3 linked regions of the Lepisosteus oculatus genome follow. The protein of the gene in region 2 purifies or fractionates together with the protein of the main gene of each other region. This does not show direct contact. Links are inferred from orthologs where the notes say so. Each region holds a gene or a part of one and is shown on either strand. Other genes may lie near its edges.

What was found.
Region 1: the proteins of ocrl (region 2) and plekhj1 purify together in Homo sapiens (co-immunoprecipitation; 3 studies listed by BioGRID and IntAct, counting the BioPlex papers as one, with this or other methods). This does not show direct contact. The link is inferred for Lepisosteus oculatus from reciprocal best matches to the Homo sapiens genes OCRL and PLEKHJ1.
Region 3: the proteins of ocrl (region 2) and snx9a purify together in Homo sapiens (co-immunoprecipitation; 3 studies listed by BioGRID and IntAct, with this or other methods). This does not show direct contact. The link is inferred for Lepisosteus oculatus from reciprocal best matches to the Homo sapiens genes OCRL and SNX9.

What each region holds. Positions count from the first base shown.
Region 1 is NC_090724.1:8,581,740-8,591,437, forward strand, and holds the start of plekhj1 (pleckstrin homology domain-containing family J member 1), read right to left. Parts: upstream 4,247-9,698; coding exon 4,153-4,246; intron 2,827-4,152; coding exon 2,759-2,826; intron 2,667-2,758; coding exon 2,600-2,666; intron 2,159-2,599; coding exon 2,068-2,158; intron 1,953-2,067; coding exon 1,889-1,952; intron 1,627-1,888; coding exon 1,543-1,626; 3' UTR 1-1,542. Other genes in the region: sf3a2 (splicing factor 3A subunit 2), read left to right, coding at 6,719-6,916, 7,002-7,048, 7,651-7,760, 8,403-8,452, 9,146-9,286.
Region 2 is NC_090703.1:50,393,662-50,404,046, forward strand, and holds the start of ocrl (inositol polyphosphate 5-phosphatase OCRL), read left to right. Parts: upstream 1-6,420; 5' UTR 6,421-7,067; coding exon 7,068-7,115; intron 7,116-8,307; coding exon 8,308-8,387; intron 8,388-10,385. Other genes in the region: protein eva-1 homolog C, read left to right, coding at 443-648, 966-1,092, 1,814-1,966, 2,719-2,862, 3,322-3,393, 4,078-4,167, 4,587-4,987. UniProt on the Homo sapiens protein: Catalyzes the hydrolysis of the 5-position phosphate of phosphatidylinositol 4,5-bisphosphate (PtdIns(4,5)P2) and phosphatidylinositol-3,4,5-bisphosphate (PtdIns(3,4,5)P3), with the greatest catalytic activity towards PtdIns(4,5)P2.
Region 3 is NC_090697.1:22,099,157-22,109,157, reverse strand, and holds the start of snx9a (sorting nexin-9a), read right to left. Parts: upstream 4,398-10,001; 5' UTR 4,038-4,397; coding exon 4,026-4,037; intron 1-4,025. UniProt on the Homo sapiens protein: Involved in endocytosis and intracellular vesicle trafficking, both during interphase and at the end of mitosis. Required for efficient progress through mitosis and cytokinesis. Required for normal formation of the cleavage furrow at the end of mitosis.

The sequences.
Region 1 (9,698 bases), on a different chromosome or scaffold from region 2:
CCAGCGCTGCTGTGGGTCCTACATGTGACACTATGCGCTGTCCACTGTCCCCAGCGCGGCATGCCAGCCCATCAGACCCTCCGGCACAGAGGCCAAACAGGGCACCTGCAGGGCAGCCAGTGATCTGAAGTCTTAGGTTCAGGTCCATAGACGCATCTTCAATTTTAATTAGACACCTCTAGGGTATAAAGGTGCTCTTTTTTAAACCACCTTTAACTGGATGGTTTTTGATGTTTTTTTTCCCCCAAGACACCAAGTCTAGGTGACTAGGATCAACCAATGCCCTGGCCCTAAAATCAAATACAGCACTGACAGAAGACAAGCGTGGTGTGAAACAGGAACGTCAGCTCAAGCGCCTACAGCCCCAGCCCTGAGTTACTGGTGCCCTGTGACATAGGGTGCCAGGCCAGGCTTGTCTGAAGAGGCCCCTCAGTCACCTGTTTACAGGCAGGGTGTAGCTGCGGTTATATTTCTGGTCATCTTAAGAAAGTTAATTTTCTTTAAGTCACGCAGGTGTAACCAGCTCTGGTCCTAAAAGACTGTAACCAGAACCTTCATGGTTTCACTCCGAGTTCTTAAATTATTTTTATAAGTGGTCAAAAAACTAAACAAAACAGCAGTTAAGAATGGCTGCATCCAGAAATTGGCAATTTAAAAACTAAATCTTGCATGACAACAGAATTTCAGAACCAAGGAGTTCCCTCCTCCTTTCTAGAAACAGGACACAACGTAGTTCACACAAAACTAACACGCTAAACCCACACACATTAACAGCTGCATCCAGAGGAGTTACATGTGCACAGAAATACTGACACTTTATCAATACAGCCTTTTAGATTTTAAAGGTACCTGGAAAGAAAATGCTAAAGAAAATAAATGTCTACAGAATTTGCTTAAAAAAATAGACTTTGTATGCACTTATGTACACAACTGCAAATCTGGGTGCAATCAAACTCTACTTAAACAAGCGTTTTGTTTTTTTTTCAGAGGGAAGTAGTTACCCGACTTAAAAACGTCAGGTTGTCTCCAAACACTGAAACTATTTAGAGAGGGCCCCCCTCAAGCAAAGATATCAAACTATCACAGTGACATAGGCCTCATGTAAGAGCCTAGAAATCCACTGCTCTCTCCACAAAACACTGGCAGAGTACAGAAGCCTCATTCCAGACACCTCAGAAATGAGCATCACATTTTAGAAAACATGCACACAGGTTGTGATCTTATACATCAAGTCCAGTGCAGAAGCACTAGAAGATTATATAACAAGGCTTTCAGGATCAAGACCCAATTGCCAACTTCAACTTCAATTCAGACAAATGTTTAGCATGCACATTTGATCCAATTTTTGCTTTCGTGACCCAGGTCTCTCAGAAAGATCCTGTGAAAGCGGTCTTCACAGTGCAGACGATTGGAAAGGTCAGTTCTCTCTCGGTGGGGTGGACGTGGTAACTGTGCTCTCGGGTGTGTGGTTACAGTGGGGTAGCAGGTGTGAAGAACAGCCCCGTGTGGCTGTAGGGGAGGTGGGGTGTGGTGTCCCCGCTGTTAGGTCGCCTTGTCGCTGGCTTTCAGGGAGCTGTTAACCTGGAAACGAGCCTCATCCGATATCCCATACTGCTCCAGGGGATCCTGGGAGAGACATAGAGCTTAATGACTGACTGACAGGACACTCGAGTACATTAACACTGCACTGAGAGAGAGGGGGGCTAATACAGACACACTGACTGGACACTCCAGTACATTAACACTGCACTGAGAGAGAGGGGTTAATACAGACACACTGACTGGACACTCCAGTACATTAACACTGCACTGAGAGAGAGGGGTTAATACAGACACACTGACTGGACACTCCAGTACATCAACACTGCACTGAGCAGATGTATCTCACCTTCCCTGTGATTCTCTGAATCTCGGTGCGGTAGAAGATCAGGCTCTTCCTCATGGACTCATAGCTGTGGGAGACGCCACACAGGGAAACATCACACAGACATGCGCCAAGAAGTCTGAACACTCTCAGAACCCACCACAGCTCCCACTGGGACAAACGGGACGGATCGACAGACAGACCTGGCTCGGATAATGGAGTCCATCCAATCCTGGCACTGCTCCTGAGAGTCACACTCAAACAGGTACTTCCGCTCCGACTCGTCCAGGAAGGCTGCGGACACCGGAGAGGAATGGTCCCAATCAGGAAGACAATGCCCAGGCACTGGACTGGACTGGACTGGACTGGACTGGACTGGACTGGACTACAGGTCTGCACAGGTCTTACCAGTCTTGATCTGGACTTAACCCTCAACTCCACTAGAGTGTACACAGAGCCCTGGACTGGAATGGAGTGGGTTGTACTGGACCAGACTGGAATGGAATAGACTAGGTGGTATTGGGCCAGACTAGAACAGACTGGAATGTGTTGGACCAGACTGGAATGGACTGGGTTGTTCTGGACCAGAGCAGACTGGAATAGACCGGGTTCTATTGAACAAGACCAGAGTAAACTGGTGTGTGTTGGACCAGACTGGAATGAACTGGGTGTATTGGACCAGACCGGACTGGAATGGGATCCGGGCCCAGAGCCCCAAACGCCCACGAGACTCACTGATGGAGAAGGCCTGGCTGTCTTCTCTCTCCACCCGGCACTGTTCCAGCAGCAGGGCTCCCAGAGGCTGGAGAGAGATGGACAGTCGGACACAGAGCCGTCACACCGAGCCCTCACCGTCTCCCCCGGGTGCCCCCGCCCCTGCGCCCCCACCCTTACCTCTTCCTCATCTGTGCGGAAGTAGAACAGGAAATTCACCACCAGCTTTACCAGCCTCTTCTTCATGACTGTGGGACACAGACGGGGGGGGGGGGGGTGGGGGAGAGAGAGAGAGATCAGCCATTGCTCCGAGCAGCACTCCCCGCACTCGCACGGTACAGCTCGTCCCACAGACCCCACAGCGCGCGGCTCATCGGAGGAGACCGGCTCCAGCAGGGCCCCGACCTCGTGAGCAACAAGAACCAGAACCAGCAGGCTGGACCCGAGAATCCCGATCAGAACCAGCGCAATGTCCCTCTACTGCAAGATGCTTGCTGGGCTCCGGCTAAGGTCTTAGCTCTTACAGGTGACCAAGGGGCGTCGCCCAACGCCAGTATCGCCAAGTTAGGTGTCCATGGCCATGTCTCAAGATGTGACCCGCGGGCTGGAGCCAGGCGGACTGGACCAGACCGGTTTCCCCTGGCAACTGTGACCTCCTCCTCCTCCTTCTCTCTCTCTCTGGCCTGTCCTTCTGCTGGTCCACCATTCCAGCGAGCTTCACTAGCACAACCGATGGGTTACAGTGCCACCAAACATGACAATTAACACAACAGCTTGGCCATTTCACATATGACACAGGCTCGCTGTGTGTCACACACACACACACCAGGCTGCAGCTCGATTGCATTGGCTCCCCAGCAGGATCGGGAGCTGTTCTGGGTCTGGTAGGTGTGGGAATGCTGGGCTGAGATTAGTCACTGTGGGGAAGGATGTTTGTCTGTCTGATCAGGGCAGCAGAAAGCACGTCTCCGTCTCTGTTCTTCTCCCTCACTTTTTCTGTTCCTCTCCCACAGGGCCAGACGGGGGGGCAGCGGCTATAAATAACTGCGATAAGACAGCAGACGGGCGCTTCCTTAAAAAATAGCTCCCTTTCTGTGCCAGAAAGAGAAAACAATGGTGTGTATCTCGGGGGGCCGCAGACTCTGAGAAAGCATCTCCGAGCTGCAGACCTCCTGGAAACATTTTACACATCGTAATTCCTTCCATCTTCATACCCTTCCCTCGGCAAGGTTACGGTTTTAGCCTGGATTTTTTTTTTTGTAAGATAAAACAAAGAGACTAAACAGTCTAGCTGGGAAAACAAATGCGAAGACAAGAAGCACACCGGTTAGTAGAAATGAGCCTCATGTCCGGTTAGGTGAAACCGGTCCAGTTAGAGGACAGAAAGAGACAGAGCGCCGAGTCCCAGTTATAAGCAAACACCGTTTCATGAGTACAGCTGCGACCTAACGGATAAGGACAGGCGACAGCAGGGCAGGGAGACGAAGACAGACAGGGAAGTGGACACGGAAAAGACACGCGTGGAGCGGCAGGGAGAAGGGAGGGGAGGGAGAGCCCCGTGTGCCCGTCCGTACCGTCGCCTCTCTTGGGTCCTCGCATGCCCAGCTGGGCCGCCCTCTCGGAGGGCTGGCGGCTGAGCGACACCAGCTCCCTCTCGTTAAACCGCATTCCTCCTCCTCCTCCTCCGCCGCCGCGCCGCTACCGCCGGCCTGGCATCGCCCCGGGAAACCGGCGACCGCCGTCCGCTCCGGCTGCCACACGCACGCACACACCCACCCGGATCTCGGCGATCCCTGTCCCACTCGGGACAGCCGGACTCGCGTTACCAGGCGACGGGGTCTTGCGCGTTTCTCTCCGCAGCTTCTCACACCTGCCCACCGCTCCGCCCTGCGAGTCTAGCGGCCTCACAGGCAGACAGACCCCGGGGTCACGGTTTTCCACCGCCGGACCGGACCCTCCCCTGCGACACAGCTGCGCTCCGCACCCGGAAACGGTGGTCAGCGGTGAGGGTTTTCCGCGTTAAATACCAGCCATAGTAAAATACAGACTACGTCTTAATAGTCTCGTCCACTCGTGGCTAATTTTTCGTAGTGGCTGCCGTAGTCTTATTTTTCTCTTTTTTTATTCTTAATAAATGTGTAAACCAATTGCTATTGTATTCACTCCGTCCTTAATTCGCATTAAGAAAAAACTACAAATCCCAGATTGCCAAACGCTTTCTACGGTCGTGTTTGCGTGGCAGGATTTCTGGGACATGTAGTCAATTTTAAATGTCATGTGACAAATGTGATCTTGAACACGTTTTTGGTGCAATTATTTTTAAAACATACACAACTGGACAGTTTCTGAAATGACAGGTTTTGTATTTGAAAAATTGTCCGAATATGCCGCATTAACAAAATTAAATGAAGAGTTATTTTGAATTACTGGTCATGTCACAGCGAAGAGATTGTTAATAAAGTTTGGTTTCCCTGCGCATGTACTGTTTGACCGGAAGTTACAAGCGTGTGTTGTTGGTAAGGTAGTCGTTCGAAATGTTACTTATAATGTCTACAATACTTGTTTTAAAAATGAAATTAATACATTTTTACAACTGTAAATGTATGTGAATAGTTTGGGTGCTTGTACATGCTATTTAAGGTTTGCTAAGTTTGGTAGCTTTTAAGATAAATTTGTTTCTAGATTCGGGACACCTCGTTGTTACTTTTTAAAAATAACATTTCACTGTGAGATTTGTAATTATCTAATAAGGGAGTGTTCTTACAATGTAACCTTTGTTTTAGGAATTATAAAATTACTTCATTTTAACAAATAAGATATTAACAAATCCTCTCTGTAATCAATATTAGCGCCCTTCGATCTTCACGTAACTATTTGTGACCTTTCCGGTTTAAAAATTATTCAGTGACCGAAACGTCTGCGTGTAATGTTTTAGATTAAGTGTGAGAAAGGCATCGACTTTAAACTGTTTGTCCACGGTTTTTAATTAATTACGGTACGTTACAGATGTATTAAGTTGCGTTATCCATTAATTACTCGTTAATCACTACTTGTTGGTGTTCTGGCGGGGCTGTGCAGCTCCTTCTCAAACCCCCGATAGTTCACCATTAAATCGCGGGTTTCTGAAGCTTATGAAGTTTCTTAGTGATAAGATAAGCATCTGCTGGTTCTCTGGTTCCAACGATCCTCTGTTTTGAAGTTCAGAGCCCTGAACGTTAACCGCGGATTAAAACGCTGCTGTAAATGTGGATTAAACTTTAATTCAATGTATTTATAGGCCCGATCGTCAAGTCATCGTCTGTCGTCCTCCAGTCCTGCGCCAGTGGCCAGTGGAGAGCTGTGGAAAGCGAGCAGAGGAACTGCCCCCAGCTCTGCCGGAGGTCCCTGTTGTGGGGAAAGTTTTCCCACAGCCGTGTTTATTGTGAGTTCACCTTGTCCGTTTTTCAGGAGGTGTCTTTTTTTTTTTCAGCAGCCATATCACCCTGCGGCTCCCAGCTGGCAGCCCCACTGGAGCCCAGCAGGTGTGAGCCTGGCCAGTACCTGGAGGGGAGACTCCTGGGAAAGCTGAGGCTGCTGCTGGAAGAGGTGTTAGTGGGACAAGTAGGCCCTAATGCATCCCTCAGATGAGAAGTAAAACCGAGGTTCCGACTGTGGTCATTAAAAATCCCATCACATTTTTCAAAAAGAAAAATGTTACCCCAGTGTCCCGGCTAAATTCCCCCCTGGCCTTTACCCATCATGGCCTCCTGATAATCCCCCTCTCTGAACTGGCTTCATCACTCTGCTCTCCTCCCCACTGAGAGCTGGTGTGTGGGGAGCGGACTGGCGCATCACCCAGGTGGGGGTACACACTGGTGGTGGTGGAGGGGATCCCCATGACCTGTAAAGCGCTTTGAGTGGAGTGTCCAGAAAAGCGCTATAGAAGTGCAATGAGTGATTATTATTTTTCCTGAGTGGGGCGCCGCGGGGTCCCATCTGTGTGGTGGGTTGTTGTTGTTGTTGTTGTTGTTGGTGGTGCTGGACTGGTGGAGCAGTGAGAGTCTGACCAGTGTCTCCCCCCACCCCACCCCCCCAGGGCCCGGTGTTTTACCCGCGGCCGAGCGAGAGAGAGCGTGTCCCTGAGCCCGCGCGCCCGCCAGGATGGATTTCCAGCACCGGCCGGGGGGGAAGACGGGGAGCGGGGGGGTCGCCTCGGCGTCGGAGAGCAACCGGGACCGGCGCGAGCGCCTGCGGCAGCTGGCCCTGGAGACCATCGACATCAACAAGGACCCCTACTTCATGAAGAACCACCTGGGCTCCTACGAGTGCAAACTGTGCCTGACGCTGCACAACAACGAGGTGAGCGGGCGACCTGCGAGCACAGCGCCCCCCGCTGTCCCGGCCTGGGGTTAACGCCGCTGCCTCGCTGTGCTTTGTTTTTCAGGGTAGCTACCTGGCGCACACGCAAGGGAAGAAGCATCAGACCAACCTGTGAGTGGAGCTCATGTTCTTTGGTTGTGTGTGTGTGGAGCTGTCAAAGCGTCCGTCTCCTTCAGCCCGTCTCTTTCACTCTGACCCGTCTCGGCTGCTGTCTGCCTGCGTCTGTACGTCTGCGTGCCTGTGTCCTGCAGACCCTGCTCTGACCTGTCTGTCTCTCTGACCTGTGTTAGTGTGAGTGTCGGCTTGGCTCACTGTCTGTTTACTTGCCTGTGCGTCTCTCTGTCTCTGCCTTTTTGTCTGAGTGATCATGTCTCTCTGGCCCTGCCTGTATCTGCTGTGGGTCACCCTGTCTCTCTGGCCCTGCCTGTGGGTGACCCTGTCTCTCTGCCTGTGGGTGACCCTGTCTCTCTGGCCCTGCCTGTGGGTGACCCTGTCTCTCTGGCCCTGCCTGTGGGTGACCCTGTCTCTCTGGCCCTGCCTGTATCTACTTGTGGGTGACCCTGTCTCTCTGGCCCTGCCTGTGGGTGACCCTGTCTCTCTGGCTGTGGGTGACCCTGTCTCTCTGGCCCTGCCTGTATCTGCCTGTGGGCGACCCTGTCTGGCTCTCTGCCTGTGGGTGACCCTGTCTCTCTGGCCCTGCCTCTCGATCTCAGTGCGAGACGAGCAGCCAAGGAGGCGAAGGAGGCCCCAGCCCAGCCCGCGCCGGAGAAGGTGAAGGTAGAGGTGAAGAAGTTTGTGAAGATCGGGAGGCCGGGATACAAAGGTGAGGCATAGCCCAGCATCCCCTGCCTCCGGGTCTGGAGACTCCCGACCCAGTGGATCTGTCCGTGCAGGCGAAGCAGATGCAGTTTGCCAAAGGAGGGGGTCCCCATAATTCTCCTGAAGAAAGTGTCAAACTGGAATTTCCCCTTACTGAGTGGGGTGTTACTGCTTGTCATCAGAGAGTTTTTGGGTTGGGGTACAGCTGGTGTGAGAAGTCAGGCCTCTTGAGATCCCCAAAAATGTTTTACTAATCCCTTACTTTAAAATTATGACCAGAAATATTGGTAGAGATGTCAAATAAGCCTTATAATGAATAGCAAAATAAAGCCCAACAGAAAAGATTAATTTTCAGCCTTCTCCTTCTGCTGATGCTTTGCATTTTGGTAAGAGATTCAATGCTGTCACTCTAGAAAAGGGTACAAAACAATTCTTCTTCTTTTTTTGCAATAAATTCTTAATGTAAAAATGACATAGCTCTAAATATTTCACTGTCAAGATTTAAGAAGAGTGAGAATACCTTCTGTAAGGCTTAGAGGATGAATATTAGCACAGAATCTGCATGTTGCATACCACTGAGTCTCTAAAATGCTTATTTTCTTATGTTTTTAATTAATAATGGAAACTAAATATTCTTTCCCTACAGTGACAAAACAGAGGGACCCAGAGACTGGTCAACAGAGTCTCCTTTTCCAGGTAGGATTGAACAGACCAACTCTCAGCTCTGTTTATCCACCTGCATCCCTAAGAGCAGGAATGGTATATAGTGTACTCTCCAGAGTCTCTGCTGACCCCTCAGCGCAGGAGTGGTACACCCCAGTCTCTGCTGACCCCTCAGTGCAGGAGTGATACAGCAGACACACTGACCCCTCAGCGCAGGAGTGATACAGCAGAGACACTGACCCCTCAGCGCAGGAGTGATACAGCAGAGACACTGACCCCTCAGCGCAGGAGTGATACAGCAGAGACACTGACCCCTCAGCGCAGGAGTGATACAGCAGAGACACTGACCCCTCAGCGCAGGAGTGATACAGCAGAGACACTGACCCCTCAGCGCAGGAGTGATACAGCAGAGACACTGACCCCTCAGCGCAGGAGTGATACAGCAGAGACACTGACCCCTCAGCGCAGGAGTGATACAGCAGAGACACTGACCCCTCAGCGCAGGAGTGATACAGCAGAGACACTGACCCCTCAGCGCAGGAGTGATACAGCAGAGACACTGACCCCTCAGCGCAGGAGTGATACAGCAGACACACTGACCCCTCAGCGCAGGAGTGATACAGCAGAGACACTGACCCCTCAGCGCAGGAGTGATACAGCAGAGACACTGACCCCTCAGTGCAGGAGTGATACAGCAGACACACTGTGAGCTCCCTGTCTCCCCAGATCGATTACCCCGAGATCGCAGAAGGCATCGCCCCTCGTCACCGGTTCATGTCGGCGTATGAGCAGCGAATCGAGCCCCCTGACCGGCGCTGGCAGTACCTGCTCCTGGCTGCCGAGCCCTACGAGACGATCGCCTTCAAGGTGTGCGGGGGGGGGACGGGCGTTGGACGGGTCATTGATGAGTGGTCATTGAGACTCCGGAAAGTTCCAGTTCTGGGTTTAGGGATTTAGGAGATATACGGTCTTGGGGAGCAATTAACTTTAGTAGCATAAAAGCCATTATGCTCCTTGTCTTGTCTCTTTCTACGTTCTTTTTAAAAAGTAATGTAACCTGACAGAAATCGCTTGTTTCTGCTTGTTGTGTTGGCTTACAAAGAACAGCCTGCAGCCCGAGCTTTTGTCCCAGCCTTGACCTTCTCACCTACATATTTCACTCACTTGGTGAAGGATAAAAGTGTTTTCGGTGGTTTTTACACTTGTTTGCCCCTGGTTGCTGAGGAGAGGCCTGAGAAGGAGACTCGGGTTGGTCCCCAGTTAATCAAACTGATCTGAT
Region 2 (10,385 bases):
TTGTGTGATTCTGGCTTCTGTATGTGGCGACGTTTCCATAAACATCGGTCCAGTCTGCATTTTCTTGAACCTACTAGTGTCTACTACAGATTATAATTCCCAGATAATTAACGACGTTCTTTACAGGTGTATTTAACTATTACATCTGAATGAGAATCTTGAAGAGGAAACAGTTCACATTTCGTAATATCCGAAATACAGCCCCGAGACTGATGAGAACACATGTAAAACCTCTTTACTATTCTTAAGATAAAATAATAGTATCGTCAACTATAGGTGACACATCTTAATTTCCCTTCATGCACGACTAATGCCTTTAAAAAATGCTATTATTATTAGGAAGAGCCAAAGTCTGAGTTACTCATTAAAAAACAAACAAACGTGTTGACGTGCGGTCCGCTGTGCTGCGGTGACCCTGCCTGTTGCCGTGCCCGCCCTGCAGTGTACCTGCACAAGATCCTGAGGAACCACACGGCCCACGCCTGCGATGGCCAGCAGCTGGCGGTCACATGCCCCTTCAGGACGGCCGTGGCGGTGCTGTCGGCCTTCTATGGCCGCCGGGTGCCGAGCGAGTACCTGTGCCCAGGTGCAGCCCCCGAGGACGGCGCGGGAGGGAGCACCGACTGCACGTCCGGCATAGCTGCCCAGGTATGGAGCCACGGCTGGCGGGAAAGACGTGGAGATCATTCGTGGTGTGGGGAGCTCCGTGTAGGGTAGGCTTGCGCGGACACGCGGGAACCCGAACGCTCGAGTTCGCGATCCGACGCGGCTCTTCAAGTCGTTGACGTGTTTGCCGTCGCCTAAGGAAGCGCGCAGCCGCGCAGCCGGTGTGGAGGTGAGTTTACGCGGACCCAGGAAGGATATTGTAGCACCCTACTCAACAGGCGCAGGGCCGGAGACAGGCAGTGGGGTCAGGAGCAGCGACGGGAGACTCTCCACTGACTCTCCCTCTCTCCGCACGACAGCAGAAGGTCGTGGACGAGTGTCAGGACCAGCGATCCTGCCAGCTGCCGGTGAACAGCCGCGTGTTCGGACTGGACCCCTGTCCCGGCACCAGCAAGTACCTGATCGTGTCCTACAAGTGCAGGCCAGGTGGGACACCGGAACATTCCGATCTTAAATGTTACTGCGAGCAACATGTGAACATAAGAGGGTTTGCAAGCGACGGGAGCTCGTTCGGTACAAGGGCTCACACGCTTGGCTGAGCAGCCTGATGCCTGCTCCCACCACCCTTTGTGTGAAGAGGTACCCCCCCGTTCTCAGTCCTTAATGCTCTTTCCCTTAGTTTGCACTCACGCCCCTCTGCCACACGCCTCGCTGTTGAAAACTCCTGCTGCATGAGGGGAGGTTTTATCCGAGTTGCCAAAAATGAGGCCTAGAACTAGTTATCACGTCACCTGCCAGCGGTCAAATGATCTACTGTCGGGGAGAATGGTGCTGACATTGTTAACTGGGGTGTTGTTATTCTCCTTAAACATGAGGTCTGGCAGCTCCCAGCTCCCAGGGTTTTCCAAAGGCCGTCCTTTCCAGCAGTGCGAACACTGTATCCCGAGTGAAATGAACGCTCGTCTGTTTCAGCAACACTTACAGTGCAGCCGATATGGTGCAGTTCAGCTTTTAATATACTACGAGTAAACAGTACCGTTATTTGTAATTGCTATAGGTCAATGTACTTCAGTTTGGTTTCAGATTTAAATCAGAGGCCCTGGGGAACACACGTTTCTTAAAAAACGCTGCCGCCCCAGCGTGCACAGATTAAAAACACGCAGCTAATTTGCGTGCCTGTTCTCCCGCGTGTGGCCCCACCCTGCAGAGAATCACCGCAGCAAGCTGGCGTGTGAGAACGACAGGCTCCGGCTGGTGTGCCGGAACGACACGGTGCTGGCCATCTACTCCGCCACCTTCGGACACCTGCTGCACGGGAGCCCGCAGTGCCCGGACGAGCCGGCCTCCGGGCCGGACATGGGTGAGAGCACAGCAGGGGGGCTCTGGGGAGGGGAGGAGAAATTAGTTAACGTACTGTAGTTTGTCACTGCCCGGAGCAGGGTAAAGACCCTCGACTGCAGACAACCCTCCAGGGCAGTGTAGTGCTGTTCTGGCAGCGGGTGTCCAGAATCACTGGGTGACAGAGCCGGTTCTCCGACCACAGGAACCGGACTGTACCGTCAGGGCATGTTCACAACCCCTTCAGCCAGTTTGCAGAAGGATTGTCTCGGACCCAGCAACTAGCGGCCGCTCACAAATGTACCTGAAGGAGCGCAACAGCTCTCACCTTGGACCCCAGGATATGCATCAGATTTTGTAGGTCACTTTGTGGGCACCCCAGGTTTTTAGAAGAAGGAGCTTCTTGGCGATATGTTTTATCGGCTTCAATGAATACATTTTTTTTTATCATAGCATTATATGCTGAGGGTAATGTAGAGAATAAATACACCCATTCACATTAGACGTAAAAGCGAAAAGCTTTTCACACGGGGCAGTAACATAATTTTTTGTTTGCGAGCAATTGCCCCCTCTAGTGGATAACACCTGCCATCGCACTGTCATTTAAATTTCGTCGACTCGGTGTCGAACACTTGCATTGCATCGAAGAAAAAAAAACGTTAGTACCTTCGGATTAACAAAAAAGACGTGAAGAAAACAACACGATTATAAAGCAGCACAATCGGTATGAATGAGGCCGATCGGACAACCCTGCATTGTTGTGGTGCTTTGCAGAGTGTCTGTCCCCGTCGGCTCTGAGGAAGGTGTCTCGCAGGTGTCACGGGAGACCGAACTGCTCGGTACTCGCGGACACGCAGAGCTTCGGCGACCCCTGTTTTCCGGGGATGAAGAAGCACCTCCGTGTGTCCTATGCATGTGGTGAGTGAGACTGGGTAAAAACGCAATTTAAATATTTGTTGTCACGGGCAAATTTTGCGGCCTGCCTTTGCCCTGCATCTGTCAATGTCCACGGTTAATTTGAATAGATTGAAATGACAGGAAAAGGAGGACTGGAGAAAGATGAGAAAAAGGAGAGGAGAGTGTTCAGCCTCACTAGCTCTTTTTTGCTAGAGGCCAACTGGTCCTAGATCTCATCCCACCTCTTCCCCTTCTTCCATGACAGAGAAAAGCTGAGCAGCTTGTTCCACACTCCCACCACACTTTGTGTAAATAAGAGCCTCCTGTAATCAGTAATCAAAGCCCCTGACGATCTGCCTCAGGCAGTTGCACATTGGGATTTTGATCCCTGTCTGTCAGCCAGCTTGCCTTTTATGTTTTTTGCGAGTTCTCTAGATGAGGGCTCCTTCCCTTGTGTTTGTGACTCTCCCTGTCTTCCAGTGCCCAGAGTTCTCCTGGAGGAGCTGGGACGGGGCTCTCCAGACCCTTTCTCCATCTCCGACTACACTCACGGTGAGAGACCCGCGGGCTGTCCTGGAGCTTTCACGTTTATCAGCGCTCTTATCGGACAGCGGCTTGCAGTATCCACACCAGACATCAGAGGACACGAGACAAAGGGTTCCAAAACCCACAGTGGCGAGAACACTCCTTTCTGGTTCAGCATTTGTGGCACCTCATTCGTGAATTATGAGTATGGATATCGAGGAAAATAGGCCAAAACGTGCGAGCCCCTAGTTTTTGTATCAATAATCGCTGACTCTTTAACTATCTTGGTTTTTCTCCCATTTTCCTGATCTTTAAAGTGTTAGCAAGAAAAGATCTGAACAAGCGATGATTTTATACATCTTGCTTAAACTCAACGGGTTATTTAACATTATTTATTGGTCACGCCAACGTTTAGAATCCGTGTCCAAAAGACATCTCTGTCATTTTCCTTGCACACGCCGGCTCACCAGCAGAGATGCCATATTTCAGTCCCAGAGCAGCGTGAAGGAAATGACAGCAGATCACAAGGCGATCAATAGAGATACACGGCCCATCTGCTGCCTTCGCTGAGAGCTCTGCACGTCCCCGGGGTTGAGGCAGGACGGCCTGAGGTGCCCCCGCTGGCAGGCTCCCAGCACGGCACACGCAGGGTTAGACATACTGGTCTGGCCTTCTCAGCGGCCCCTAAGCCCAGTCCCTCTTCACCCACAGGAGGCTGGTACACTGGCCCCGGAGTGTCCAGGCTTCATGGGAAGGTGGTGGTTTTTACCAGTGCTTTGGAGGTCTTTGCCCGAGTCTGGGGTACGTCGCTGTGTGTTGTGCTCAGCCCCAGGGGCCTCCGTGTCTGGTTCAGTGTGGTCTGGGCGTCAGGCAGAGTGAAAGTGAGAGTGTGTGGAGAAAGGTCCAGGTCTCTAGTGGCTCCTAAACAGCGAGCCCAGGGCACTGCAGAGGCAGTAGCTCCATGAACGCAACAAGAGGAAGGACTAAGTCTGCATGCCGGTTCTTATTTTACCCATCCTATTACATATTAGCAATCCCCCCCAGTTTTCTGTTTCTGTTACTGTACACGGTGTGTTCTATTTGGTGTGAAACACTGACTCTGGCAGCCATCAGGGTGCTGGTGTCGTCCCTGTTTGAGCTGTACCAGACAGAGCGGGCCCGGCGGGCCTGACGAGCCTGACGAGCCTGACGAGCCCCGCCCCTGCCGGCTCTTTCCCCAGGCCTGCCCGAGACGGTGGCCCTGTACTTCGTCTCGGGGATCTGCGCCGGCCTGGTCTTCCTCCTGTGCGTGTTCGGGCTGAAGTCCATGGTGCTGCGGGACGTGAAGAGCCTGTGGCTGGAGCTCGAGGTGGCCCGGAAGGCCCGCCTGGCCCGGAAGGCGGCGGCGCTGGCGCCGGCCCGGCGGGAGCTGATGGCGGACCTGGAGGACGACAGCTCCTCCGACTCCTCGTTCCGCCGCCTGACCTGGGCCTACCGCACGGCCGACACCCTCTTCAGCTCCGAGCTGACCGTGGAAATGGAGGAGAGGGGCGACGGCAAGGAGCTGCAGGAGGGGGACATGTGGCTGCCGGGCGACTCCAGCCCCTACGCCATCCACAAGATCCAGGCCTCCGGCCCCTAGGGAGCGGCACGCCGGAGTTCTGGGACAGCCGGGCTCGGAGTGACCCGGATCAGCTCATCACGGGCTCAACGGGACCCCTTTAGCAGCTTCTCCCAGCTTCTCTACAGGGGCTGGAGCCTCAGAGACGCCTGCAGGACCTGGAGACACGCTGCAGTCCAGCCGGATCGGGACCGGAGAGCCCCACCGTAAAGAAAGAGACGTAAAAAAACCCACCCGGAAACCTCTTGAGCGCTGAAACTTTATTTCTGTGAAGAAGGCATGAGAATTATTATTACTATTATTATTGCATGGTTTGTGAGCATTTGTCTAACAAAAAAAAATTAAAAGCCTTTGTTTACAATTAACAACTGTATGTGATGTACAGTAGCTGTACAGTTGTCTCAGAGTTTAACATGAACTTCAATGCTACAGATATTGAATGGATTAATAAAGTACTGAACTGGTTAACATTTCTCTGGTGCCTAAAATGTTAAATCAAAATTATGGTATGAATTATTCCTTTAATATTTTTTGTACCTAAATCAGCAATTAGTTTTTTTTTAATGTGGTACCATAGTGCACAGTTAAAATGTAAAATGCATTATCTGCAGCTCTTGTTAAATCATGAACATGTAAAAAGTATTTTATATATTGACCTTTTAATATTTCCCTCATGTTTTTTCACTTATTACTTGCTTTGTATTGGGGAAAAAAACAATTCTAAATATAATAAATAAAACTAATAATATGTGGTTGTTATCTGTACATTTTATTTTATTCGGTTTTCTGATATGATAGTTTTGGATCCATAATAGAAAATACCACGTCAACAGCTACTTGTCGTCTCTGTCAGTTGTCTAAGATACAGTTCATTACAGACGGATAGTTCAAAGTGCTCACATTCAAAATCAGACAGTTTTGGGACAAAACAAAGTGACGAGATTAAGGAGTTACCGGCTTTGTGTGGGAAATAGTCTTGGATGACAGCAGCAAAAATTCGTGGAAATATGCCCCACGAAGAAAACTCCATCGCTGGTCAGCTGGTCGAAAGAAAACCGATAAAATAACCTGGACTTGACTTGAGGCGACCTCACCTCTTTTGCTGACATTATTAACATGTAATAGGTTTATTCCATGCTGAAAAAAAGAAGAAAGAGAACACAACGTTTCGGCCGTGGAGCCTTCTTCAGGTGTCAAGGTTTGACACCTGAAGAAGGCTCCACGGCCGAAACGTTGTGTTCTCTTTCTTCTTTTTTTCAGCATGAAATAAACCTATTACTTGTTCCTTTGCAGCCTACGCATGCTGACGCAGCTACCCACCTGCATTATTAACATGTGCATTTCTTTAAAGAAAACAGTAATCAGGAATTTATCTTTCTTTAACCGTGTCAGAAATTAAACCTGGGGAGCACAGCCCCTTCTGTAACTCGGGGAGACGCCGATTTTGTGCGCGTCTCTTTGACGCGGCCCGTAACGTAAGACAGGGTCTTCCCAGCCGGTAGAGGGCAGTAAGTTTCGGAAATGGGGGTATATTCTTGCAGCCGCACCGCCAGGACTCTTTCTGTCGCTCGGCCGTTTTAATCCGGCTCCAGTTTCCAGGTAAAGCGCAGCTGTCGAGTGGGAGCGGAGGCGCTGGAGCCGGGGCCTGGGAGAGTCTGAGTGCGCCGCGGTGTCGAATAGGGGGCGCAGCCGAGGACATGCGACTTCTCGCCGGCGAGGGCTGCAAGACAACACTGACCTCCGGGGCAGCCAGAGCGGGTTACAGACACGACCCAGTCCGCGGACTGCGGGAGCCTCGGGATTAGTTTTCTTGGCGAGGGGGAAGATCGGGTTGTGTTACTCCGGCCCTGCTCCCGGGACACAGGTATTGTGAGCGAGGTTGGTCGGACCTCGGAAGGCACCGTGCGCCTGGTAACCCCGAGCAGGAGACCGAGAGCCCCGGCTTGTCGGCTCTGCCAGACCCCGGTCTCCAGCATTTCATTACCATTCCTCCTGGAGGAGCAGACTGCGGGGGAGGAGTGTGCCACAAATAAATACGGGACCTGGGGAAAGAAAAGAAAATACGGCCGAGCTGTGACCATCATCACACCCTTAGTCGCTGATGGAGACGTCTTCAGCATTCGGACTCTGCAAAAGCCAATGTATTGCAATATCCTTTCATTTCTGTACTTTTTTGTTTTCCGAGTATTTCCTGCCTCAGAAATACCATGCGTCTTCGTGTTAGTGAGGGAGGCACGCAAGTTGTGATAATATGCAGCGCAGGTGACTTACGCCGGACACTTTACGTCCCGTTTAGAAATGTCAATATATCTCTTAATCGTTCTTTAAAGAAAGGGGAACAAAAAGAACGGTGCTTTTATATGTCGAACCGCATTGAAATATGTGAAGGTGATGTTCAATAGTCATAATCCAGCCGTAGAAACAGCTTGATCACACGAATCGTTGAGTTTGTGGGCATCACCCCCGGTGCAGTGTTGACAGGCACCCACGCAAGCAGGCCGGCTTGGACCCAGAGTCAGTCAATCTGTCTTGCAGCAGCCCTTGAGGGGGTGTGTTTGATACGCCCTTGTGTCCTTATCTCTCTCCCCGCCGTCTTCAAAGGCCGCACGAACCTGGCAGTGAAAATCAATCTCCGTGCACGCAGTGTAGGTTTATTGGTCATGTGCGACATCCTGACGGGCTGTAAAGCGCAGGTAGGCTCGGGGTCAGAGTGCTCTTCCCTACGGTCCGCCCTGTGTCGTTTGAAAGGAGATCTCCGACATTGACAGGGTCTGCACACGTTATGACGAAAGGCATGAGTTAGGACGGCTGTGGCGCGCTGCAGTGTCACCGTGAGCGTTTTCATTCAAGGTTGGTTTGTGTTCAAAAACGTGTGGCTAGGTCTGTGATCAGTGTTTACCGTTGATCCCGAAAACGTGTACCGGTGGGACGCGGGAAAGCGTGTGTAGGCACGGCCGCGGATTTGTACATGGCTGGAGAAAACGTGAGGAATTTTGTTTTTTGGCGTTAATAAAAATGTTCCGATTGCCAGAACCCTTTAAAAATACATTACCTGCAGGAATAGACGCGGGCAGTCTTTGTTCTCGTCGCTGGTGTCGCGGGGTCGCCCGGGGCTGGTGGTGGGTGACTTGCAGATGTGTGCGGTTTCCAGCTCTGGCGCTGTGGTTTGGTTGCAAGGATGAGGCGTACTGCTAGTCTCCTCCTTATCGCTCTGGCACGCTGAAGAGGTTAGTGCCTCATTTGTGTGAGGCTCAGGACAAGAGACATGAGGTAGCAATGCCCCATGCCTCCTCCTCCTCCTTCCCCACCCTCAGCCCTGCCTCCTTAACCTGCCGCCTCACACCGTGAAAGCCCAGGAGGTCAGAGGTGGACAGAAGGAGCCCAGGCTCCTCTCCCTCATCGAGTCCGCAGGGGAGTACAAGTAAGTATCTTCTCCTCTCCGTGCTGCCTCATGCAGGCCTGGTCTCCAGTGTGGAAGCAGAGTCTCCGCGAACCTGAACAGAGCCAGGCGCCGTCTGGCCCAAACCGGCTGGCTGGCTGGCTGGGACAGTAGAGAGGCGGCGCTCCACGCGCTGTCCTCGTCGCCATTCCTGTGTTCTTGTCCTGTTTCTCCGAGGGTGTGTGCTCTGGGCCCAGGAGTACGCATTGCACTTTGGCACCTGTGACAGTGCAGTAGCTTTCTGGTGCTGCCGGCTGCAGAAGTCTGCGAGTGTAAAACTCGGCTTCAGGGTACACTTCCAGCAGTAAAGCACCACCTTCAGGGGCTCGGCGGGCACAGGCCTTCCCGAGGGTCTTCTTGCTAGTGAGGCTGTGTGGGAATTGAAATGCATTCCTCCACTTTGTCACGGCTTCATCCAGTGGTGGGGGAGCTGGAGCCTGTCCCAGCAGGCAACAGGGGCAGGGTAGGGCACGGCCTGGGTGCGACGCCAGCCTGTCACAGGGCACACACTCACACAAGGGCCAGCCTTGCCAGAAGCCAATTAACCCACCAGCATGTCTTTCGACGTGTGATCCAAACCCGGGGAGAACGTCCGAACTCCACACAGACGGCACCCCAGGGCCGGAACCGGACCCTGGCCCCCGGTGCTTCAAGGCAGCAGTGCGTCTCACTCTGCCATTGTCCTGCCCGAAAGAAACATCTGTATTTTCCATTCTGAAAAGGCTTTGGGATAGAATATTGCTTGGTTGTCAGGTGCGCTGAGACACGCAGGACAGAGCAGCACCGTTTCTGCTCACTCGTTTGTTTTTAGGGGATTACAGTTCCAGCCAGCCAAGAAGCTGGGCTCATGACTTTGTTGACTCATGCAGACAGATGTTCACTCAGTTTCCATGTAATATAAGCGATTGACAGCGTCTCGGTTTTTTTTCTTTGCGAACGGCACGAGACTGGTGTGGGCTGTCATTCTGCATCACAGGGCGATGTGTGGGCAGTGCTGTAGGCGGAGTGCCATCCCCTCCCCTAGTGCACTGTGCTCACAGATAGAATAAAATGTTATCTCCAATAATAATATACTAACTAGGGCCTTTTATCAATTTGGTCTGCTGAATGCTGTCTGAAAAGAGGCCTTTGTTGTCAAGTGTGCTCATGGGCTCTTGTACAACTTGAGACCCGTAACTGTGTGGCTTTCGTGGCACAGATGACATGCAAATGGAGTGATTGTATTGCTTGCAGAAGACCTGTGTCCTTGACCTGTTCCCTGTTCTGGGGGCCCTGGTGTCCCTGCCCTGTTTCAGAGTCCTGCTGCACACCATCTCTCTCCTGATGGAGGGAGGTATTAGTAGGCATTGTGGTTTAATGCATGCCTTAAACCTTTCTCCCACTGCGATCGCGACGGCTTTGTGCTTTGCTATTGTCCTTACTTTTCCGATGGCTGCAAAAGCCGGGATGTTTTAAGTTATCCATCAGCCTCGAAAAAAGGTCACGAACATGAAGAGGGCATTCAGCCCCTTTTCCCAGTTTGACTGCTGGGAGTTCAGGGTTCTGGGGGTCTCCTCAAGTTGGTTCCCAAAAGAATCCAGGGTATCAGCTTCACCAACATGGCTGGGGAGCTTGTTCGAGATTTCCAAAATCTTTTGTGTGCAACTTACCTGTTCTGAACGCACTCCCCTTCAGATGATATTTTTAGGAAGTTTCTTCAGTTCTGTTAGGCAGTGTTGTTTTATCTCTGCGTTCCTCTGTCTTAAGTTAAGGACCTGTATTAAAATTAAGCTATCATCGAAATGTTGCAACAGCACGACTGCAAGACAGTCTGTGAGGTGCCACAGGTTTGCCTTTTGTAAACCGTCTTCCTTGTGTGGATGTTAAGAGACAGTTTTAGTATTCATGTTTTCAGCATCAAAAGGTGCAGTGAGTGTGGTGCAGAGGTACAGAATGATCCACTAATTGTGTGCACCAGACCAGTCGGTGAGGAGTCCCAGG
Region 3 (10,001 bases), on a different chromosome or scaffold from region 2:
ATAAATCTATTTTTTTCTTTTTAAATAGTATGCAGAACATCCTACAGGGAAAACACAGAGCTGTTCCTGGGAGTTTAGTAGCCTGGAAAGTATCTGGGTACAAAAAGGCCAGTCTCCTGTGAAACAAGGGTGTACCTGATGATCCAGCTCAGACTTATGAGGTACTTAAAGTACCTGCTCTCACTCTGTAAGCATTGAAGACCTGCATATTTCTCATTGTTTTAAAATATTTGTACCTTGTTTTAATACACACATTTCAACATGTACTTTTTCAGCTTTTCAACATGTTCTAAATGGCACCTATCTAAATAGACTCTGGGTGTAAGAACAGAGGACGCAAGCTTTTCCATACTATATCCACTGACATCTGACTTTGCTTTGCACTATCCCACTGAAGCTAATGTCACATAACCTCAGAGCTACTGTATCTGAACAAAACTGCTCTACTTCCCTGTATGATCTTATATTCATTTCTTTCTTTGAATGATTGCTTCTTCAAGAAATGCAGTGTATATAGACTGTTAAAGGTTTACACAGGAGGGTTTCTTATTGTTAATTAAAATGTAAAGCAAAATGTTCTCCAGTATTTTCATCATAGTCACCAGAACCCAAGTTGCAGGACTGTGAACGCATGCACTGCATTTTTTCACAGACCAATAAATTCTGACACATACACCCTCAAATGTTGTTATCTTGCAGGTTTTGAGATCCAGAACAAATCCACTATATTAAGAGGGTAGCTAATTTAACAAACTACTAAGAAAAAAAATACTTCACTTCCCTCCTTCTGTTATGGGGATCATACACATCTTCAATAATACAACATGTGATGCACTCAAACAGTACAAAAAATAGATTATAAACATGGTCATTTTTGTTCAGTACAATTACTGGATTTAAATGCACTGTACAGCTGTACATATGATCAGAGGCAATCACAGTAGGCCATCCTGTCAGGATAATGGTACTGTAAGTGCAACATGCTACACACAGCACCTACAGTACCAGCTGCAACAAGGATACTGTATCTACATATCTTTTATTTTCTAGTATAGTAACATAAAATTTAAATCCATGACTTGTTAATGCCAGTGTAGTTAAAACGCAATGAAAGTAAGTAATCTTCATTTTTGCAATTTGTTTTTTGTCCTATCGTCAACTGCAAGAACGAATCCTTTGGCTTTCACTTCATCTTTTATCCTCTCAGTTTATTTGTCATTTTTTTCATAAGAGCAATGAAAACATCTACCTCACTACAGAAAAGTGCTTGTGCTTTTAATATTCCTTTTTCAGATTGTGGACTCAACCAGATACCTTCACTTTGAGATACACCCAGCAAATGTAAACAATACAGAACAATTCCTCATACCATGAAAAATATTCTGAGGCATGGTCAGGTAGTGATTTTTGAAGGGTGATTGTGGTGTGTGTGTATATATATATTGTGATACATATCCTAATTGGTACTATATAACACAATATCCAAATCATCAGTCAGAGGTTTTAAATGTTCAGCACCAAACACTTATAGTATACGAATTGACCTGGATCTCAGTTTCTTTTCCCAAAAATTCCTTTCTGTATGAGATTACGTGACATAGGGGCTTTGCAAGCCATAACAACAAATTACATTACATTACAATTACAAGTTACAATTACACAGACAACATAATTTCACTGGTAATTATTACACATCAATAATAATTAGTTTTAAAGTACTACACAAACAGCACCTGTCTCTTAAAACATTATGTCACCAATACAATCCTTACAAAACAGATATGATATGCCATTTCATTTCAGAAATTCTTTCTCAGCCTGTGAAATACTAATTGAAAGAAAAATAATTTTATTAAAGCTTAACCATTGTATAATTTTGTTATATAAGGAAAATAAACAAAATCAGTGATATATAAGTGATATAGCCTTATGAATCTGGATAAATTATTTGTTGTAACATTCAATTAATTATGTTTTACTATAAGACAATATTTCTCGGATAAAACACTAAGAGTATATTAATTTCTTTGGATAGTGGTTTACCATGCATACTACTGTATGTCTTCAGCCTTAAAGAATTTAATAAAATACATTAGCGTGAATCACCACTGAGCAGAAAAAAACACTGGAAATAAAATAGTGCAAATATTTGTATAAATATTTATAGATAAGAACTGCATTTGCAGGATACCCAGAAACAGCAAAACACCTTCATGCATGATTTCAATTATTTCTGTTTAGCAGAATCACATGGTGTTGATATACAAGTTTGGTGAAACATCCAAAGCCTAAACTTTGCACACTGTTCAAAAGAAACACTTCTGAAGCAAAGGAATCTAGGGCTATTTAAAAAAGGTAGCAAAAATGAAATTAAAATGCTGACATTTTCAAATTATTTTATAATTCTAAACTTGTACTTGAATATGTAAAAATGACATGAACACTCTGCAAATGTGCACTGTGGCTTACATTGGAGCATGAACAGTAGGTAAAACTTTCTTCCTCTTAAGTAATCCATATCGCCCCAGGTATACAGGTATACAGGGGGCTGCAGTGGCATCCAATTTTTTTCAATCTATCTTAGAATTACTGGATCTGTCCTGAATTATTTCCTTATATCTATTTCAAAGTGTCTTTATGTATTTAAATTACAGCAACAAGATGAACATGTGGACCAATGCAGACAAACTCTATTTGATATTTTATATTGACTAAACCACTGAGAAAGAATTGCCAACTATATAATACTATAATAGTATTAGTTATATTAACATTTAATAATTTTTAATAGTTTTTTACATATTTTACAGTACATTTTAGGTTGATGTAAAACTAATGCAAGCAGCTGACTCTGCATTTAACTGCTGAGTACAGTAAAATACATTAATGACATAGTGCCATGAAATTAGATGTTAAGTTGTTTTACATTTGTGTAGAAGAATATTCAGCTAAAACATTTACAAGCTAAATGCATCCATCCATCACAACTGGTGTGTCTTGATTGATTCATGCTTTAAAACTTAATTCAGAAGGCATCAAAATCACTTTTTGTTTTACAGCAAAATGCTTTGAAAATTATTCCAAATACAGGACAGGTCATTACATTAAAATTATTTGCTGGATTGCAAGTTGCTGCTCAATAATACTGTATATAGCTAACCTTTACAAAACAAATGTTCAAGGAGGGAAAAAACATATGCTATACAGTACGTACTGTAAAAGCAGGATTCCACCCAGTCTGATTTTTTTTTAATCAAGAACATACCAATAATTGACACTGCAAATTAAATTGAAACCTTGCGTTGAAATTTACATTTTAACTTTCTGGGTACTACTGTTCATTTCCCCCTTTTATTAACGATGTTTAATATTGCCTAAAAGGTCACACGTCAAAATTTTCTCGCCATAATGTATAAACTGTGTACTGTAGGTACTCTATTGATAGCCTTTATCCATAAGCAGGTATAATAATAAAACTTTTTAAAAAACAACGTTTGGCTACATAAATATTACAACGTCATCTTCATACGTAGTACTCATGCTGTAGTCACAATTTTAAGCAGTTTGTCCACTTAGTAAAACAAACTGAGACAAGAATACAATCTCATTTACTGGGTTAATTTTCTATTTGAGCATTTTTCACGTTACATATAACCTCGCGTGTCCAGAAACTACAAATCCCAACATTACTTGCGTCTGATATGACCCGCATTGGAAGGGTGGAATAATGTCACAAGACACTTTTAATGATATATACTGCACATATTTCGATGGAGAATAAACAGGGCGCTTAAACAGAGTTCTTACGCTAAAGGTGCATACGATTGCGTGTTTTATGTTCGACTGCAAAACCAATACATCCTTTAAGATTAAAAACACTGTTTTTTAACTAAGCTGAATAGACCTTTTTTTAGTTCAGGCTGAAACTGTACCTCCAGTTTTTGCTTCTGCATAATCGAGGCAGTTAGAAAATGAATAAGAAATGCATGCAACTTTAAAAAACAATAGCATAAAATTCACCTTACCTTCGAAGCCATTACTGCTTCATTTATTTATTTTAAAATATTTTTGAAAAGTTACTTTATCGGTTCCTCAATCAGCCATTCCCTTTTCCAGCCACTGAGCGAAAACAAGGCAGTTCTTCTTGGGAGTGCTGGTGAACTAATTTTAATACATCACTAAATACAGACTGCCCTTTGACCCGAGGAGGGGAAAAGGCAGTTTAGAGGACTCTAGTTTAAGTAATCCACTTCGGACTGAGTTTCGCTAGATTTCAGCTTCAGTTTAGTCCTGTATCCCGAGCACGGCGCGAAGTTAGTGGAGCCCTGCGTCTTATACTGAGAGAACAAAACCGGAAAGGATCTGGAAGCAACACCAAGATATTTATGACAAGTCAGCCTGCAGATACGGTTCAACTGTTTCTCCGCTGCACGAGTTGAGGGCGCTGTCCTACGAAATCGCTGCTATATACAGTACTAGTAGTTTCTAAACTACATTTTTTATACCAGGCATAATCAACATAGATATGCGTCTTTATTTAAAAATGAATATGGGTTTGCTGTATGGTTTACGTAGAGGTAAATGGGCCATAAAATATGTCTCATTGCATCAGCTTTATCAAGTTATTTATTGTATTGATCGTTATCGCTTATAACCAAGTGGTGTAGAAAATGTATTAAATGTTTTAAATTTTGATCATAGCATTTCTAGCCTTAACCCAATGTATGTATTATGTAATTGATACGTGTTGGTTTCTACCCCCAAGTCATGCACACCGAATTGAAATGTTGCTCCTTTCCTAGATGTGTGCTTCGGGACCTTTGGATGAAATTCAGTATTTGCCAAGCGCTTAGCTTACGTTCTTGAAATCCCCTTTTGACAACAAAAGGAATTCAAGTTTTGATAAATACAGGACCTTGATTCCTTTAACGTTATTTAAAATAGAGCGTTAAATTAGGGGGAACCGCAGCGGACCTGCCATTTCACTATTGTAACCGTATAATATACAGCTTGTAACGTAATTAAAATAGTATATGGATATCATAAACCATACTAATATTAAATTATTTTATATAATAATGTAACATTTGCCTGGTGTTAAACGTCTCTTTGACCTTCCACCCGTCACCTTTAGCTCACGTGCTTCTCTATCCCCACCCTGTATAAGGAGGGGAGGCCTCTCTCTATACCTCATGCACTGCTAGCAGAAGCTTCGCTCATTCTCCACACCCAACCCCCTTGTGTTTACAGTTACAGTACCTGTAATCTTTAAGGACAATAAGTCTTAGTGAACCTGCTCTCCTACTGTACTAGCCTACACTGCTGGGGAATTGTCAGTATAGGAGAAATCTCCTCACCTGTCTAAGCAAAGGCATAAAAGACGAATGGAAAGCAGACTCCTGATGCAGGCCAAGAGGGAGACAGGACCTCTCACCAGGGATGAAGCTCGGAGAAACATGCTGGAGATAGGCCAAGTCTTGTCTGGGCAAGAAAAAATGCCAAAAGAAGTGCGAAACCTGTTTAAAGTCTTTAGATGCGTTCATCTCTATGGAAGCGTGGTGACCATGCTGGTGCTACAGACACTACCCGAGTGTTGTGTGTCACAGCCCAGTGAGAATCTTGAGATCTTTGCTGCTGACCTCCACTACCTTGTGCAAATATCCTACCTGTGCCACCCCTGCTTAAAATGTCACTAGAAGTGTCTTTATCATGTAAATCAACAAAGAAAACAGTTATTCAAATGGTTCTTAGGCTGACATTGAGGCAGCTGTCAGGAGAGCTTTGTAGAAAGGAAGAAAGTTTAGAGAATGTCAAAACCCGATAATATTTATTTGAAAAATACCTTTTCAGCAGACAGGGTATACTTCACATTCAGTAATAATTCCCCAATTCCCCAATTTACATTAACCACATTTGCGGGCCCGTCTTTTGGATGATACGTTAAACCGAGGTCCTGATTCTCAGTGGTCATTTAAGATCCCCAGGCATTTCTCAATAAGAGTAGGGAGTTATCCCGGAGTCCGGGCCAGATTTCTGCCCTCTGCCTTTACCGTGGTCTCCAAATTGTCCACATGTATGATTGGCTTGCACTTCCCCTGTGATTGACTGGCGCCCCATCCAGGGTGTACCCTGCCTTGCACATGTTGCTTGCCAGGTAGGCTCCGGCTTCCTATGACATCATATGGTAAAAAGCGGTTTGGCAAATGACGTGACATGACATTTGTAGGCTCCTATTCTCTTTTTGCATGGATCTTTCAACCCTCCACTGGCTTCTCTCCCACACAGAGCCCAAGGGGAAGTTGGCCCACTGGATCACAAAACTACAGTACAACCAACCAGATGAGCACCATCTGAATGGAGATTCCTTATTCTGGAGATCGTGTGCAGAGGAAGGCTTTGCGCACTGAGGAGCAAGAGCTGGGGCGCTACCCTCACCAACCACAAGCTGCCTGAACCCGCTGCCTGATCTCACACCCTCAGGGAACACCAGTCAAGAGGCCAACCCACATACAGTAGCTGGTCTGTCAGTGGCAAAGGCTGAAAGGTGACCTACATACAAGATGGCTAGACAAACTCCTTTAACAAAAGCTCTATGGCCACAGTGCCTGCGTCTTCGGACTCTTCATGGCACTGGGTTCATCCTGGCTCCAGTTTAAGCATGTGGCAGGTTTTGGTTCCTTAACTGCTATGACCCAAGTTGCCACAAGCCCACCTCGTGGAGTAAGCCACTTTTGGGTAACCAAGAATCTCCAACAACTCTAAAATATATTTCTTTATATTTTTCCCTTTTATTCTATTCTCTGTTTATGCATTTTAGTTGCACTCTTCAGTTTTTACCTCCCTATCAAGTTCTTTCCAAATTTTTTTCAACAGAACGTTTAGGTCAGGGGGAATTGTGAAACCAGTACAGCAATTTCACAATTTAATTTTCACGTTCAGTGCAGATTTGCTTTCTTTACTGTTACAAAGTACACAAGGATAGCAAATTCACTTAAAGGCCCAAAGCACAAAGCAAAGCTAAACATGACTTACTATACTCCTGAGCAAAAAACAGCAGGTGTTGCAATCGATACACTGGCATCCCCTGTCCCCTGAACCTTCAAATTGTCTTTTCTGTCTCTCATGGTCTTAAGGTCTTTGCACAATTGCCCCTTCGGCCTGGAATCAGGGTTGGGTCTAAAAGGCAAATGTTTCTGCATTTCTTAGCCCTGGGCCAAGCTCTGAATCCCGGTGAAAGGCCACTGACAGAATAGTCAGTGTAATCATGGTAAGGAGAGGTAAAATGAGGAACTATTGCAGTCTGTATGCTTTCAAAGAAATTCAAAGTCTGCTGTATCAGAAAGACATCAAAAGGTAAAATGATCCTTAAACTTAGTTGACATCTTCTTCCCCACTCAGTGATTTACTTATTTACTTTTCAGATGTTTTGTCTGACATTTGTTACCCAACACACTTGAAGGAGGTTATGCAGCTGAAATATATATATATATTTTACTTTTTACTTCTCCTTCAGCTTTTGTTAATATCACAAATGGCTAGTACGAACAGAAAAACAGAAGAGGTACTGTATATCATAAAGAACATTGCCCCCTCTTGCGTTCTGTGACACTGCCCTGTAACAGGGATTATATGTAAAGTACCTAAGTGTATCATTCTCTTCTTTTTCTATCTTTAATATGGCCAATGCTGACAGATATCACTAAAAACAAGTTAACTGCGAGTTGCCGTCTTGCAATCATTAAATAATACAATAAATAAACCTTGATTACATGAATACATGAAGGTTTACATTTAATGAATCAAGAAATTACAGATAAGTATATCAGTTCAGAAGACTATGACTGTTTTTAATTGTGAGTAATGCGTAGTGTTTAAAAATATATCTATATAGGTTTATTTTACTGAACAAAATATTTTTGTATATAAAGAAGAAAGTTCATAACCAAGATAGGAGCAAAGAGTCAAGAAAGTCACATCAGTTCAAAGGAGTTCTCAGCAAAGGAAACTGAACTGTCTCCTTTGGAAGGCTCCATATCCAACAGGGGTCTCCAACTCAGTTCCTGGAGGACTGAATATCTTCTGTTTTCTGTTCCAACTAGTCTCAGTTACTTAATTGTTCTGATAATGTAATTCACTCCATAATTGTAACACTTCTAACCAGACTCCCACACAGTTATAGCTCCACACAGAGTTATAGCAGCTGACATTTTACAGAACATTTTAGGTGGTTTCAGGTTGTAGGTAAGGATGTGATTTCTGTCGTTCTAACAGGAAGAATAACTGCTAAAAACAAATGGAAATTAGTTTTATAATGGTAAACCAATATAACAAAATTTAAGAACAATTAGACAAAATGTTAATTAAGAATTTAGAATTCAAAATTGTAGTATTTCAGGTGAAACATCAACTCAAACGTTTATACCTGTGTTCTAGAACTAATGCAGATTTGCAGATTTATTTTTTCTGTGTAGAACTTGTGAATTTCCATTACATTACCTCCACCTAGTGGACCACAAGAATATAAAAAAAGGTACCGTTCTGTATGTTTTCTACAGTTGTAAATGACAATTGACAACGTCATACCAGAAGAGCTAATTTAGACAAAAAATAAGTTTTAAAGAAATAACTTAGTGAAGGGTAAGTTATACAGTAGCTTGCCACAATAATTTAACTGGAACACGATAAAAGATACATTTTAAGTACAGTATCTTAAGTAGACATTTTAAGTATACCTTCAGCTGTATTTCAATATATTTGCTGTATTTTCAGCCTGAAAACAGGATTGAAAGAATAGAGGGAAACAACTTTTTACAAAATAATCAGGTTTTTCAGACGTTGTTTGAAGACTATGAAAAGAATTCAACAGACAGACTGCAGCACATTAAAAAGTTTACAATTCTGTATTTCATACATGCATATTACTCTTAATGCTCTGATTAAAATAATTCTTGATTCTTTTTTTCTTAATAACTCAATGGTTAAGTATCTATGAACTGCAGAGGGAAGAGAAGGAGAACATAAGGGGACACCACACCTCCTGCTGCACTGCACACCAATAGAACCTGGATTTGGGGATTATACTGAAGATATTGCAAAAAGCACCAGCTGAACAAACTTAAATCATGTTCTCTGGTTGGGACTGTTAATTCTCTGCCCATGACCATCAATAGACAATCTGTCAATTAGAAAATGCCACTCTTTGATTCCTAAGATTAGGAATTAGTTGTTTCCAACCTTGGAGAGTGAGATGAATTTCACTCTGTTGTGGTTGAATGGGATAGCCGTGGACAGACTATTTGGCTGTTATTTTTTCTTTTCTGGATTCTCTGAGGGGTGGATAGACGGAGGGTCACAACCAAACTTTCTGTTTGGTATTTTTTTTTTCGAGAGTGGCAGAGCACAAAAACACAGCACATTATTCAAATTTTCAGTGGCAGCACAGTAAGGTGTCCATGACCCTAAGCATTAGAGTAAGTATCATACTTATAATATTTCACGATAACTTCTGTTTTTAGGCTTTTTGTAGGACACATTAAGACACTGTACAATCAATGTCCATTTCCCTTTATTTTTATGTACCTCTATAGAATTTGGACCCGAGTTGGTTTGTGGGTTCCCGCCATCCAGGTTAATGGACACATGTCATGGCTCGATCAAACAGGGTGAGGCTCCATTAATCCACAGTCAAACGCTTATTGAAAATCACAATAACTCTGAGCAGGACTGAGTGTTCTGCCAAGATATCCCCAATAGAATAACCCAAGAAGCCACAAAGAACCCAAGAGTAACATCTAAGGAGCATCAGGCCTGTCTGCAGCAAATGTAAGTGTTTATGTCACAACCATCAGAAGAAGAGTGAAATGAGATGATTTTTGTGGGAAAATAGCCAGGAAGAAACCATTGCTGTATTCCAAAAGAAGAACTTCATGCCTGCTGTCAAATATTGTGGCGAGAGTATCTTCTTTTGGGGCTGCTTTGCTGCTTCAGGTCCTGGATGCCAT